3 linked regions of the Caenorhabditis elegans genome follow. The protein of the gene in region 1 purifies or fractionates together with the protein of each later gene. This does not show direct contact. Each region holds a gene or a part of one and is shown in the gene's direction. Other genes may lie near its edges.

Region 1 (3,636 bases):
ATACAATTATACATATAATAATGAATCAATCATTTTTTTCCATTCAAATTCCTCTTTGTGGTTTTCGTTCGAAACTGATGTTGTGTCGTTTCTAAAAGATTACTTTTTTTTTTAATTTTTAAAAAGTTATTTTCATTATTACCAATGTCTGACTGGATACTGTAGATTTGCTGAGTTTCAACTCAATATCAATTTCTTCTTGTTCATCTTGTCGACCTGAATAAGTTTATTATAGTAACAGATACCTAAGAATACGATTTTTTCCATATCATTCCAGAATTTTTCTTCAAAAAACAATGTAAAAATATAGTTATTTTCAAATGAAAAATTTTAGAATAACATGGTGCAATAGACACTTTTGTATCAGACATCTATCGATTTTTTTAAAAATAACTCACCATCTTTTTTCTTCTTTTCGCCTTTGATTTTTGGCACTTTTGCTGGTTTCGGTGCTTCCTGATGTTTCTGTATCTTCTGTATAATCATCTTTTTTGGTGGGCTCTTTACTTCGGACGTACTCGGACACGAAACAGTTTTGGCACAAATTTTGGGAGACTGTTTCATAGAGATTGGAGGAGGTGCAAACTGGCGGTAGCGTTTTGGAGATGTAGGTGGAAGTCTGAAAAGTTTTTTACTTTGAATTTTAAATTTGAAAAAATCACGAAACTTACCGAGAAGTTGATGGCATTGCGGAGAAATCAAATTTTGCCGGTTTTGTCTCTTGTGGTCTTCTTTTAATATTTTTGTGAAACGTCAGAACGTCTCTAAGCGTAACTTCAGGATTCATAATAGTTGATGATGGTGTAGGACCCTTGGTTTCAATTGGTATTCCTTTGAAAGCCAGTGAATGAGCTTCTTCCTTCACTTCTTGTAGTAAAACTTCATCCATTGGATCATGTTCATGAGATGAGTAAAAGCTTTCGCGTGGTTGTCTTACTGGGTGACCTTAAAAATCAATCAAATACAAATTTTTGTTTAAAAAAATCTTACAAGGTTGTACAACAGGAAGAGGTTGTGTCTGTAATATGCAATTGAAGATTTCTTTGACATTTTTTGCTCTTCCGACATGCATATTTCTCAAAAACACAGAATTTCGATTCCAATCAGATGGTTGTCCTGTCTGAAAATATTGCGAATTTTATTTATCGTAACTAAAAATACAAAAAAAAACTTACTAGGTATTTATAGACGGATTCACGATAGCTTGAAGGTCCTCGACATCGAACAATAAAGAACTCTTCGTCGTTTGCCATACTTGAATTCAGTATTACCAAAATAGAGTAAATCCGGAAAATCTATTGCGAAGATGCGCGCAAAGTGCGTCAGCTGAGTGCCGAAAAGACGTCAGCAGTTGTATATCTCTATTTCTCTATGCTCTCTTCAACTTTCAGTTTTCTCTACAACTTTTACAGTAGGTTTGTGTAGAATAAGATTTTAAAAGTGGTTTATTGTAATTTTGTGACTTTCATAAATGCGCATATTATAAATAATTCTTATTTTTTCAATAAACGACCTTTGAGATGATAAGCGGATCACATATAACTTATCGAATGGCCTCAATCATCAAAATTGTTATCAACTGGAACAAAACGATAAAGAAGAAATTATTTTATCGGTTTGGTCTCACGATTTTTCTTGCCATTTTCGCGAACAAAAAGTATTCTTATTTTCTCTAATTTGAAACAATTATTATTTTTTGATTGTTTCAATGCTGTGAAGTATTTATTATTTCAACAAAAAATTGTTTCTTGTTTCCCACCAAGATAAAAAAGTTGTGCACTTTTCCGTTCTAGTGTTTGCACCAATCTTGCTCGGTGCGCCACGATTTTTATTTTTAATTATATAATTCCTCTTCAACTCCTCGTTTTATTCGAAAAATGTTCTAAAAATATTCAATTTTCAGTCACAAAATGGCGACGATCGTGCCAACACTCTTCTCATTCGTTCGTGACACTTACAAGGGCCGTTTCGACGTGGCCACATTCGAAAGAGAAGTTGGACGCGATTTTGATAATCAGGAGATTGCTCAGGCCATCAGCAAATACGAGCAAGAAGCGAAGAATTTGAGAAATGTAAGATTAATAATTCATAAGCATAATTCTTCTTTGTTTCTATTAAAATGCTTGTTTCAGAAAGACGAAATTCGCAAAGTAATTCAATATATTGATCTAACTACCTTGAATGGTGATGATACTGCGAGCAAAGTTGTTGCATTGGCAAAAAGAGCAATCAATCCAGTCCCAACTGATCCATCAATTCATTGTGGATCCGTTTGCGTCTATCCTCAAAGAATCGCCGATGTCAAGAAATTCCTTGCTTCTTCGAAGTTAAACTCCAATATCACTTCAGTAGCCGGAGGATTTCCATCTGGACAATATCATTTGAAATCCAAAGTTCTTGAAGTCGAGCTCTCTGTTGCTGATGGAGCTACTGAAATCGATATTGTCATCAGCAGAGCATCAGCATTGGACGAGGATTGGAAAACTGTTCACGATGAGGTTTTGGCATGCAAGAAGGCTTGTGGCTCGGCTCATCTCAAGACTATTTTGGCAACTGGAGAGCTGAAAACCTTGAGCAACGTCTACAGAGCAAGTTGGGCAAGTATTCTCGCTGGATCCGATTTCATCAAGACCTCAACTGGAAAAGAATCTGTGAACGCCACATTGGAAGTTGCTTACGTTATGTGTACTGCCATTAAGCGTTGGCATGAGCTCACTGGAAAGAAGGTTGGATTCAAACCAGCTGGAGGAATCAAAACTGTTGATGAAGCACTCTCTTATGTTGCTCTTGTCAAAGATGTGAGTGTTACTTATTCTAAATACAATTATAAAATTCATTTTTCAGATTCTCGGCGACGAATGGCTCAATCCTCACTTGTTCCGCATCGGAGCTAGCAGTCTTCTTGATGATTGTCTGAAGGGTCTTTAGATCAGTTTTTGTTATCATCTTTTTTTTTTGTTAAGGTTTTCCCTATTCACTTTTTTTTTCGAATTGCCATAGCATCCATGTTACAATAGGTTGTGCCACCCCGAGTTTTACAGAGATTTTAAGGAATGAATAAATAAATTGTTTTATTTTCTAAAAATTAAAAGTTTATATAACATTATGTTTATATTACCATGCTCATATTTTAAAAAAATTGAATACAAGAATTAAAATATTGAATTTGGTAGTATGGTCCGGGTAACCATTCTCCATCCAGATCTAGGCATCGGTGGAGCCGAACGATTGATTGTTGATGCTGCTGTTGGATTACAGGATCGAGGACACTCTGTTCGGATTTTCACGAATCAATATAGTAGATCGCATTGTTTCCAAGAAACTCTAGATTTGGGTGAGTCGTATTGCCTTAATGCAAAATTTCGCGTTTTTTTGTGCCAAAAATACGGTAACTGGTCTTGACACGACAAAGTTGTGTTAAAAGTTATTTGTTTAAATATTTAAAACTCAAAAATTTCAATAAAAACATTCATTTTTCAAAATTCGCAAAAAAAAAATTGAAAAAATTTCCAAATTCGTGTTTTGTTGATATATTTAGATATCACATAAATAAATATATTTTTATCGAAAAACTATAAAAATTGATGAAAATTCCGCGACAACAAAAGTTTGAAATTACAGTACTCATTAAAATTG
Region 2 (3,756 bases), on another chromosome or scaffold:
CATTAGCAATGGTTGATTTTGGGTTGCGATGAAGACCTTGTTCTGTGTGGCGGTTGGATTTCCAGTTGGGTGATGTTGACGACGAATCCATTGATCAATGGCAAATCTTGATGAAACGGTTAGGAAGAAGGCAACTAGCATGAACAGGCTCATGAACAAACGAACAGTGTCAAATGTCAGAAGTTGAATTGCCAGTGCAGTGTAGTATACAGTTTTTTCATCGTCCGAGTTCCAAAGGTATGGCGCGAAAAGTTCGGCGATTTTCACATCTGAAAAGAATACGATAAAACCAATTAAAATTCAATTCAGTTGCAAAAACTTACAAAACTCAAACCATTGAGGAATATTCATTACAATTACAGCAGCTGCTCCAAAACCAAGACGGCTACGTGCATCATCGACAACTGGATCACCAGTCAGAACTGCCATGTTTGTTCCGGCTGCTGGTTTTGGTTTGCACATTAATCCAACACACAAGCACTGGAAAACATTTTTGATTTTCTATATTTAAATTTCATTTGAAGGTGGAATTGTTGAATTACTGTCAATAGATATGTGTAGGGGTGTAGAAGTAAAGTGCAAAACAATTACACTGAAAACGATCTTTAAATAGGATCACACCACTTGTTGGCTTCGGTTAAATTTTCTACTATTCTTTGGATTTTTTCACACTTTGTTTAATACCTCACTAATGTATAACTGGGCACTGATGTCCACCTTTAGAGATCAAAAATAGATTACCACTAGAAGCTCGGCAATGATTCCCACTGTGCACAAAAGGTAGGTAAAAAACAGTGCAGAAGCAGGAAGTGGGTTCCATTGGGATGCGATGAAATGATATGAACCAGAGAGTATAGCAGCAAAGAAGAGCACAGCAAAGTAAGATGTCCTGGAAAATATCGGAGGCATCAACTATTCATTTAACAAAAAATGTTATTCAAGATTTTTGCTGTGTCATTCTAACCATTTTCTTACCATGAATCACAAGGATTAAAGTTTTGTCTTTTCCTTGCAATTACAATCAACGCCGAGAGAAAAATCACAGATCCAATGGATGTAGTGAGGACTGCTGTAGTGTAAAACCAGTTGAAGAACATCAGAAAAACCATGTACCACCATCCATAAGCTCCAAGCATGATACTGTAGATAGCCAGTGCAATCTTGAACAGAGATGACAGTCCAAGTGGAATGTAGACAATAGTCAGAAAGACCTTCGTGATATCACGCTTCATTTTCAAAGAAAGCAGAAAGAAAACTGCGATGATTGAAACTTCAATTGCGGAGAGTCCAGCTCCAATTGGTCCTCCGTAAAATGCTTTCTTTGTGTAGAGTTCATCAGGAAAATCACAGCTTATCTTCACTTTTTTCTTCACAGTTGTTGAATTACAAAAAAGAGTGGTAAGTAAAGGAAGACCCGGGACTGGGTCCATGTCCGTCGACATGGTTACACGATCTTTATATCACTTCAATAGTTGGGATTTTATTGAAGCTGAGATTGAGAATAAGAAATGTGGCGAGTTGAGTGGCTAGATTGAACAGGTGAAATGCCATGTTGCTATGGTTACTCGTCACGAAGTTTCAGCTGTTCTTGGACGCAGATCTTGTGATATTGAAATTGGTTGTTGATGTAAAAAAAATTAAGACGGAGACACTAACGAAGCTAGCCAAAACAAACTTTTTACGGAAGGTTGAGCTTAATGTTAAGTGGGACATATACGTTTGATGGTACCTGAAACTACCAGGAAAGTATGATATTTTGCAAGTCTTTGAACTTTTGGGATCATTTTTGCTCTTGAACTCATCCTCTAATATATATCATAAGCAGCAAAAACAAAGTACTCGATTTTGCTGCTTATGATATACTATTTTTTGAAACGAGCGTTTTAAAGAAAATTGTGTACATTGTTTCGGTGCTCAATAGTTTCATTGTTACATACTTTGCAAAATGAAAGGGTTTTCCCTGTCGATCTCGAAATAGAAACCATTATGACGATCATCAATACACAATTGGACGCAGATTGTTAGAGGAATGGCATTGATAACAAAAATAGTCACAATATAAAAGTTGATCGTGTTGGGTAGAATGGGGTAGATACTACACATTTTCTGATATTCATATCATCTGACGAAACAATGCCCGCCAATTACGATTTCACTGACAAACGTATACTTGTCACAGGAGCAAGTCAAGGTAAGTCTTGAGATGTTGAAAAAGTTAAGATGGGTTGTTTCAATACAAACCAAATACACTTGTTTTGGGTTCCATTTAACAAATATGAAATTGAGATAGCTCACTACAGGAAATAGACTTGATATTTAGACAGAAAGTTATGTTGAGATAAGTTTTTGTACCACTCGGAGTTGGTGCCAACTTATTGCCCAACTTTTGACCTATAGTTGAAAACTTCACGGAAAACGTCAAATCTCTTTTCCGACGATTGTTCTATGTTTTGAGTTTAGATATGTTTGCAAGGTTTGAATTGAAGTTGACCAGGTTTTCCCTGGTCTAGTATAAGTTTATTTGTAGTTTGAAGTAAGGAAATGTTAAAAATTATCTGCTCAATTAAAAAAAACCATTAAACATTTGGAGCCACTGAATCAGTTTTCTGAAATCTCATGAAGATTTGTACTTTTTAAGTTTTCAAAATGTTTAATCCATATTAATTTAACATTTCAAATTTAGGCCAATGTGATAAAAGACCGATGGTCTCTCTGATTACTTCCGGTGTAATTATGATCTAGTTCAAATGGAGAGGAAAACGTTGATATACGATAATATGATAACACTATAATCTTTAATCAAAAATTTGTTGTATCATCAACATTTTATCATTCCGTTTGAAAATTATAATTATTTTACGATTATGTTTGAGGAAATTTCTGGCATTGAAAACAAGAGTACATCCTTCCTAGTCGGTAAAAAATATATTACGCGAACAAAGCTAAAAATAGAATAAAAATCGTTCATGAAGACTTCCGATGGGGTGATTGTGAATCATACATCACAATTTATCACATTTGCAGGAATTGGAAAAGAAATCTGCCTTTCGTTGGCCAAAGCTGGAGCGCAGGTTATTGCATTCGCGAGAAATGAAGCAAATTTGTTGAGTCTTGTCAAAGAGACTACTTCTTTGGTAAGTGAAAATATAAAATATTACACCAATCTGATTAAATTAATATTTCAGAGATATACAATAATTCCAATTGTTGGAGATGTGAGTGCCAATGAAGAGGTCCTTTTCAAACTTATCGTACCACATTTCCCAATTCATGGTCTTGTAAATAATGCTGGAATTGCAACAAATCATGCAATTGGACAAATTACTCAACAATCAATTGATAGAACATTTGCAGTCAACGTAAGGGGACCTATTCTCATTGCACAATTAGTTGCTAGAAACTTTGTGGATAGACAAATCAAAGGATCAATTGTTAATATTTCATCACAAGCAGCCATTCGTCCATTGGATAATCACACTGTTTATTGTTAGTTTAAAACTTTACTGAAATAATGTACATCTGAAAGTTCAGGTGCATCAAAAGCTGCTCTTGATATGGTCACAAGATGTCTTGCAAATGAATTGGGATCCCAGAATATTCGAGTTAATAGTGTCAATCCAACTGTTGTGATGACTGATATGGGAAGAGATGTAATAATTTTCAAATTGAAAAGAGAGCATAATTAGACTTTTTAGAACTGGAGTGATCCTGATAAGAAGAAGAAGATGCTCGACAGAATGCCGATCAAACGTTTTG
Region 3 (3,756 bases), on another chromosome or scaffold:
TATCAGTGAAGTGAAGTAAGAAATTAGTTGGTTTTGTTTCGGATAGTTAATTTGAGAAGTTTTCAGAAACGGACCAGTGAGAATTTATGGAGCACCTGAGTACAAAACTGAAGTTATGTTGCTAGGAGAGGGATCTTATGATTTGGAAAGTGGAACTGTAGAGTTGCTAATTTGGTTGCAGGTATGGCAAAAACAGAAAAATCCCAAAAAAAATTCATGTATCATTTAGGAAAACACATTTGCGGTCGTAGAAGAGAGCGGGTTCACTTATGCAATGAAATCGGAGACCATGGTTAGGATAAAACCGAACACAAAGTAAGAATACGGAATTATAGGTTCTTTGAAATAATTTTGTTTTAGGTGTCTTCTTAATGTCAAAGGAGGATTTGCTATCACCATCAGAATGCCAGCATAATTTTTTTTTTCAATTTTGTAAAAGTCAATTTCCATATAGGCTGATTGAATGAATGCTTTTTTCAATATTTCTATCTTTATTCCAAAATGTAATTTCAATTTTGATTTATAACAAAATGAATGACATGCAATCGTGGCCAACTGATAACATCAATTCCGTTTCATTATCATCGATGTCAAATGTCTCGTGTAACACACGCTGTCGGTTCAGCAAAACCATCATGTTCTTCAAAGCTTCAGAAAATTTGTACTTTCAGACCTCGTTGTTCGTTTCAGGAAATTATGTCACTGTAAAAACTGTAAAATTGGTTAAAAATACAAAGAATCCAATTTTTGTTTTGTAGTTAGTTTACATAACTATTTTTAGTATGATTTCTATTTCATTAGAAAAAAAAACGTTAACTCATTCCGAAAATTTTTTAGCAGAAAAATAATAAATGCCTTTTAGCCGTAATTTTCAAAGGGGTTGTTTTTAAATTTGATGGGGAAGATTGAAAATAATAACTTAAAATAACTTCTCGGTTGGAAAAAAACTATAATTTAGAAAATGTTCACAATACCTCATTTTTTACTGTCAAATCGTCACGAGAACTTTGATTGTTGAAATTTGGCCAGTACTTCCTTGTTTTGAGCATCTTTTTAATATGATCAATGACGTACAATCCAAGTTTCAGATCTTTAAAAACATCTGATTACGATTACAGATCTTTTATTTTATTGTTCATAGCCCATTTTTCGTTTTGCAACCCTTATCATTAATATGCCCTTTTTGTGTACATTTATTCTTTTTCTTTCGTTGTCTTCATTGAGTATTAACTGAAATTGTCTAGGATTATGAGCATCGGAAACTGAAATGATAAGTATTTCCCGCGCTCATGTGGTTTTTTTTTTAATTTTCTAACGGTTTTTCCTCAACAGTTGAATCAATGTTATAAATTGCCAAAAAACAAAGACTACAATAAATGGACCACATTATAACGTCTAAGCACTGTAGTTTTCCTATTTACTATTATCAACTGTCGTCTTTATCAGTCTCTATCTTTTTCTAAATTGACCTTCGGCCACACTGTAGGCTACCCATGCTGTCCTCTTGCCCAGTTCTTATATTTTGATTGTTATTGCTAAATTCATTTATTTTTCAAACTTCAGCCATGCCACACGACTCTACATATCCACCAGTGAAGATTTCCGAGCGTCCGTACCATGAGATGCTCCTTGATGCAATTGATAAAACAATTGCCGATGGAAAGAATAAAATTGCATTTGTGAGCGGAGATAATCCAAAACATTTCATTACTTTTGAACAACTTCGTAAGGATGCTTTTGCTGTCGCTATGTATCTTCATAGCATTGGGTTCAAGGTATGTGGCATTATGTTAAAAATTTGGGAATTTTATAATTCAACAAGAGAAAGGAAGTATTTCAAAAATCTTTCAATTTGTTCAAGACAATGCCTTAAATTTTTGATATCTTTTAGAAAGATGTTGCTGCTGTTGTTCTTCCAAACGTCTGGCACTATACTTCATTTTTCATTGGATGTGCCATCAACGGTGGAGCTGTATCTGGAGCTAGTGCACTTTTCACTGACTGTAAGTTAAATTGATGAAAGTTACTTTCACCAACCCGCAATTTCTGTTTTCAGATGAGCTTCAACGTCAATTTGTTGATTCTCGCGCAAAGGTTGTTTTTACTTACGAAGATTTTCTTCCAAAAGTTCTTCTTGCTGTGAAGCAATCGCCAAACATCCAAAAGATCATTGTCATCCCAAAACCAGTTGGATCTTCTCTTCCAGCAGGAGTTGTATCTTGGAATGAAGTGGTTTCAACTCCAGTCACTGCTCTACCACAAGTTCCAATTGATGTTCACAATGATTTACTCGTTCTTCCATACTCGAGTGGTACCACTGGACCACCAAAGGGTGTTATGCTATCACACTACAATTTTACATCCATGATCTCCATGTATCTTGCGTAAGTTTGAAATTTAAAGATGATGATGATGAGACAGAATAGGTGTGAAAGTACAAAGTTAACAGTAAAATGGTTACACTTTAACCTTCCTATGACGCAAAAAAAGATAAGGGCCAAGAAAACAATTTCATAGATCAATACAGAAGAATCAGTATAACGTTATGTACATTTTTTGAAAAGTAATTGAAAAAAAACGAAAATATAATTAGGTTCATATACGACACAACTTTCAGAATTGATAAATCACACATTTTGGATGTTCTTGATCCAAATTGGGACTGCTACAATGAGAAAGCTCTCTTGTTTCTTCCATTCTATCATGTCTATGGATTTGGTCTTCTTAATCACTGTCTTCTCAAGGGAATGACTGGAATTGTCATGAGCCATTTTGAGCCGAATAATTTTTTGACTGCCGTTCAAAACTACAAAGTATAGAATCAAAAGTTCATAAATAACATTTTTAATTTAATTCTTTAGGTCCGCTGTCTTTGCCTAGTTCCACCAATTATGGTTTTCTTGGCCAAGCATCCAATTTGCGATAAGTTTGATCTATCATCAGTGCAAATGATAATGGCGGGAGCAGCTCCAGCTGGAAAGGATTTGATTGAAGAATTGAAGAGGAAGTATACAAATTTGAAATACATCCAACAAGGATATGGAATGACGGAATGTTCAATGGCTAGTCATCTTCCTGATTTAAGAAATGATCAACCATATGGATCCGTTGGAAAACTTGCTTCAAATTTGGTTATGAAGGTGAGAATTTCCGAATCAAGTTTTTCAATGTTTAAAAGGAAACAAAAGTATTCAATTTATACAAAAGTTATTCAGATTGTGGAACCAGGAACCGACAGAGAGCAACCGGTTAACCAACGAGGAGAAATTTGTGTTCGTGGTCCAACAATTATGCTTGGGTATCTCGGAAGACCAGAAGCAACAGCCAGCACTGTCATCGATGGATGGCTTCACACTGGAGACATTGGTTATCTCAATGAGGATGGAAATTTGTTTATTGTTGATCGACTTAAAGAGCTAATCAAGGTCAAAGGGCTTCAAGTACCACCAGCTGAACTTGAAGATCTTCTTCTATCTCATCCAAAGATTAGAGATTGTGCAGTTATTGGAATCCCAGATGCTAAAGCTGGAGAATTACCTAAAGCATTTGTTGTAAGAGCTGATAACACTCTCACTGAACAAGAAGTTAAGGACTTTGTTAAACGTAAGTTATGAATAGTGCATTTTCTGTATAACTATAATACTTTCAGCAAAAGTGTCTCCTTACAAACAACTCGAAGGTGGTGTCGAATTTATTGAAGAAATTCCAAAGTCCGCAGCTGGAAAGATTTTGAGACGATTCTTGAGAGATCGTTCT

The links.
Region 2: the proteins of F09E5.3 (region 1) and dhs-21 fractionate together in Caenorhabditis elegans (co-fractionation; one large-scale study listed by BioGRID). This does not show direct contact.
Region 3: the proteins of F09E5.3 (region 1) and acs-14 fractionate together in Caenorhabditis elegans (co-fractionation; one large-scale study listed by BioGRID). This does not show direct contact.

The regions. Positions count from the first base shown.
Region 1 is NC_003280.10:5,372,094-5,375,729, forward strand, and holds F09E5.3 (Putative deoxyribose-phosphate aldolase), read left to right. Parts: upstream 1-1,903; 5' UTR 1,904-1,910; coding exon 1,911-2,072; intron 2,073-2,132; coding exon 2,133-2,798; intron 2,799-2,844; coding exon 2,845-2,928; 3' UTR 2,929-3,072; downstream 3,073-3,636. Other genes in the region: agt-2 (AlkylGuanine DNA alkylTransferase), read right to left, coding at 44-91, 143-216, 399-619, 672-945, 991-1,120, 1,176-1,253; algn-2 (Alpha-1,3/1,6-mannosyltransferase ALG2), read left to right, coding at 3,175-3,334. UniProt on the Caenorhabditis elegans protein: Catalyzes a reversible aldol reaction between acetaldehyde and D-glyceraldehyde 3-phosphate to generate 2-deoxy-D-ribose 5-phosphate.
Region 2 is NC_003283.11:12,731,939-12,735,694, reverse strand, and holds the start of dhs-21 (L-xylulose reductase), read left to right. Parts: upstream 1-2,049; 5' UTR 2,050-2,133; coding exon 2,134-2,191; intron 2,192-3,024; coding exon 3,025-3,134; intron 3,135-3,185; coding exon 3,186-3,486; intron 3,487-3,531; coding exon 3,532-3,650; intron 3,651-3,695; coding exon 3,696-3,756. Other genes in the region: xbx-9 (XK-related protein), read right to left, coding at 1-269, 324-480, 742-889, 976-1,442. UniProt on the Caenorhabditis elegans protein: Catalyzes the NADPH-dependent reduction of L-xylulose, D-xylulose, L-(+) erythrulose, D-erythrose, D-threose, L-ribulose, 1,4-dibromo-2,3-butanedione and 2,3-heptanedione.
Region 3 is NC_003283.11:9,506,569-9,510,324, forward strand, and holds the start of acs-14 (4-coumarate--CoA ligase), read left to right. Parts: upstream 1-1,563; 5' UTR 1,564-1,565; coding exon 1,566-1,775; intron 1,776-1,891; coding exon 1,892-2,003; intron 2,004-2,056; coding exon 2,057-2,384; intron 2,385-2,617; coding exon 2,618-2,813; intron 2,814-2,861; coding exon 2,862-3,140; intron 3,141-3,215; coding exon 3,216-3,603; intron 3,604-3,649; coding exon 3,650-3,756. Other genes in the region: haao-1 (3-hydroxyanthranilate 3,4-dioxygenase), read left to right, coding at 1-15, 67-181, 230-315, 361-415.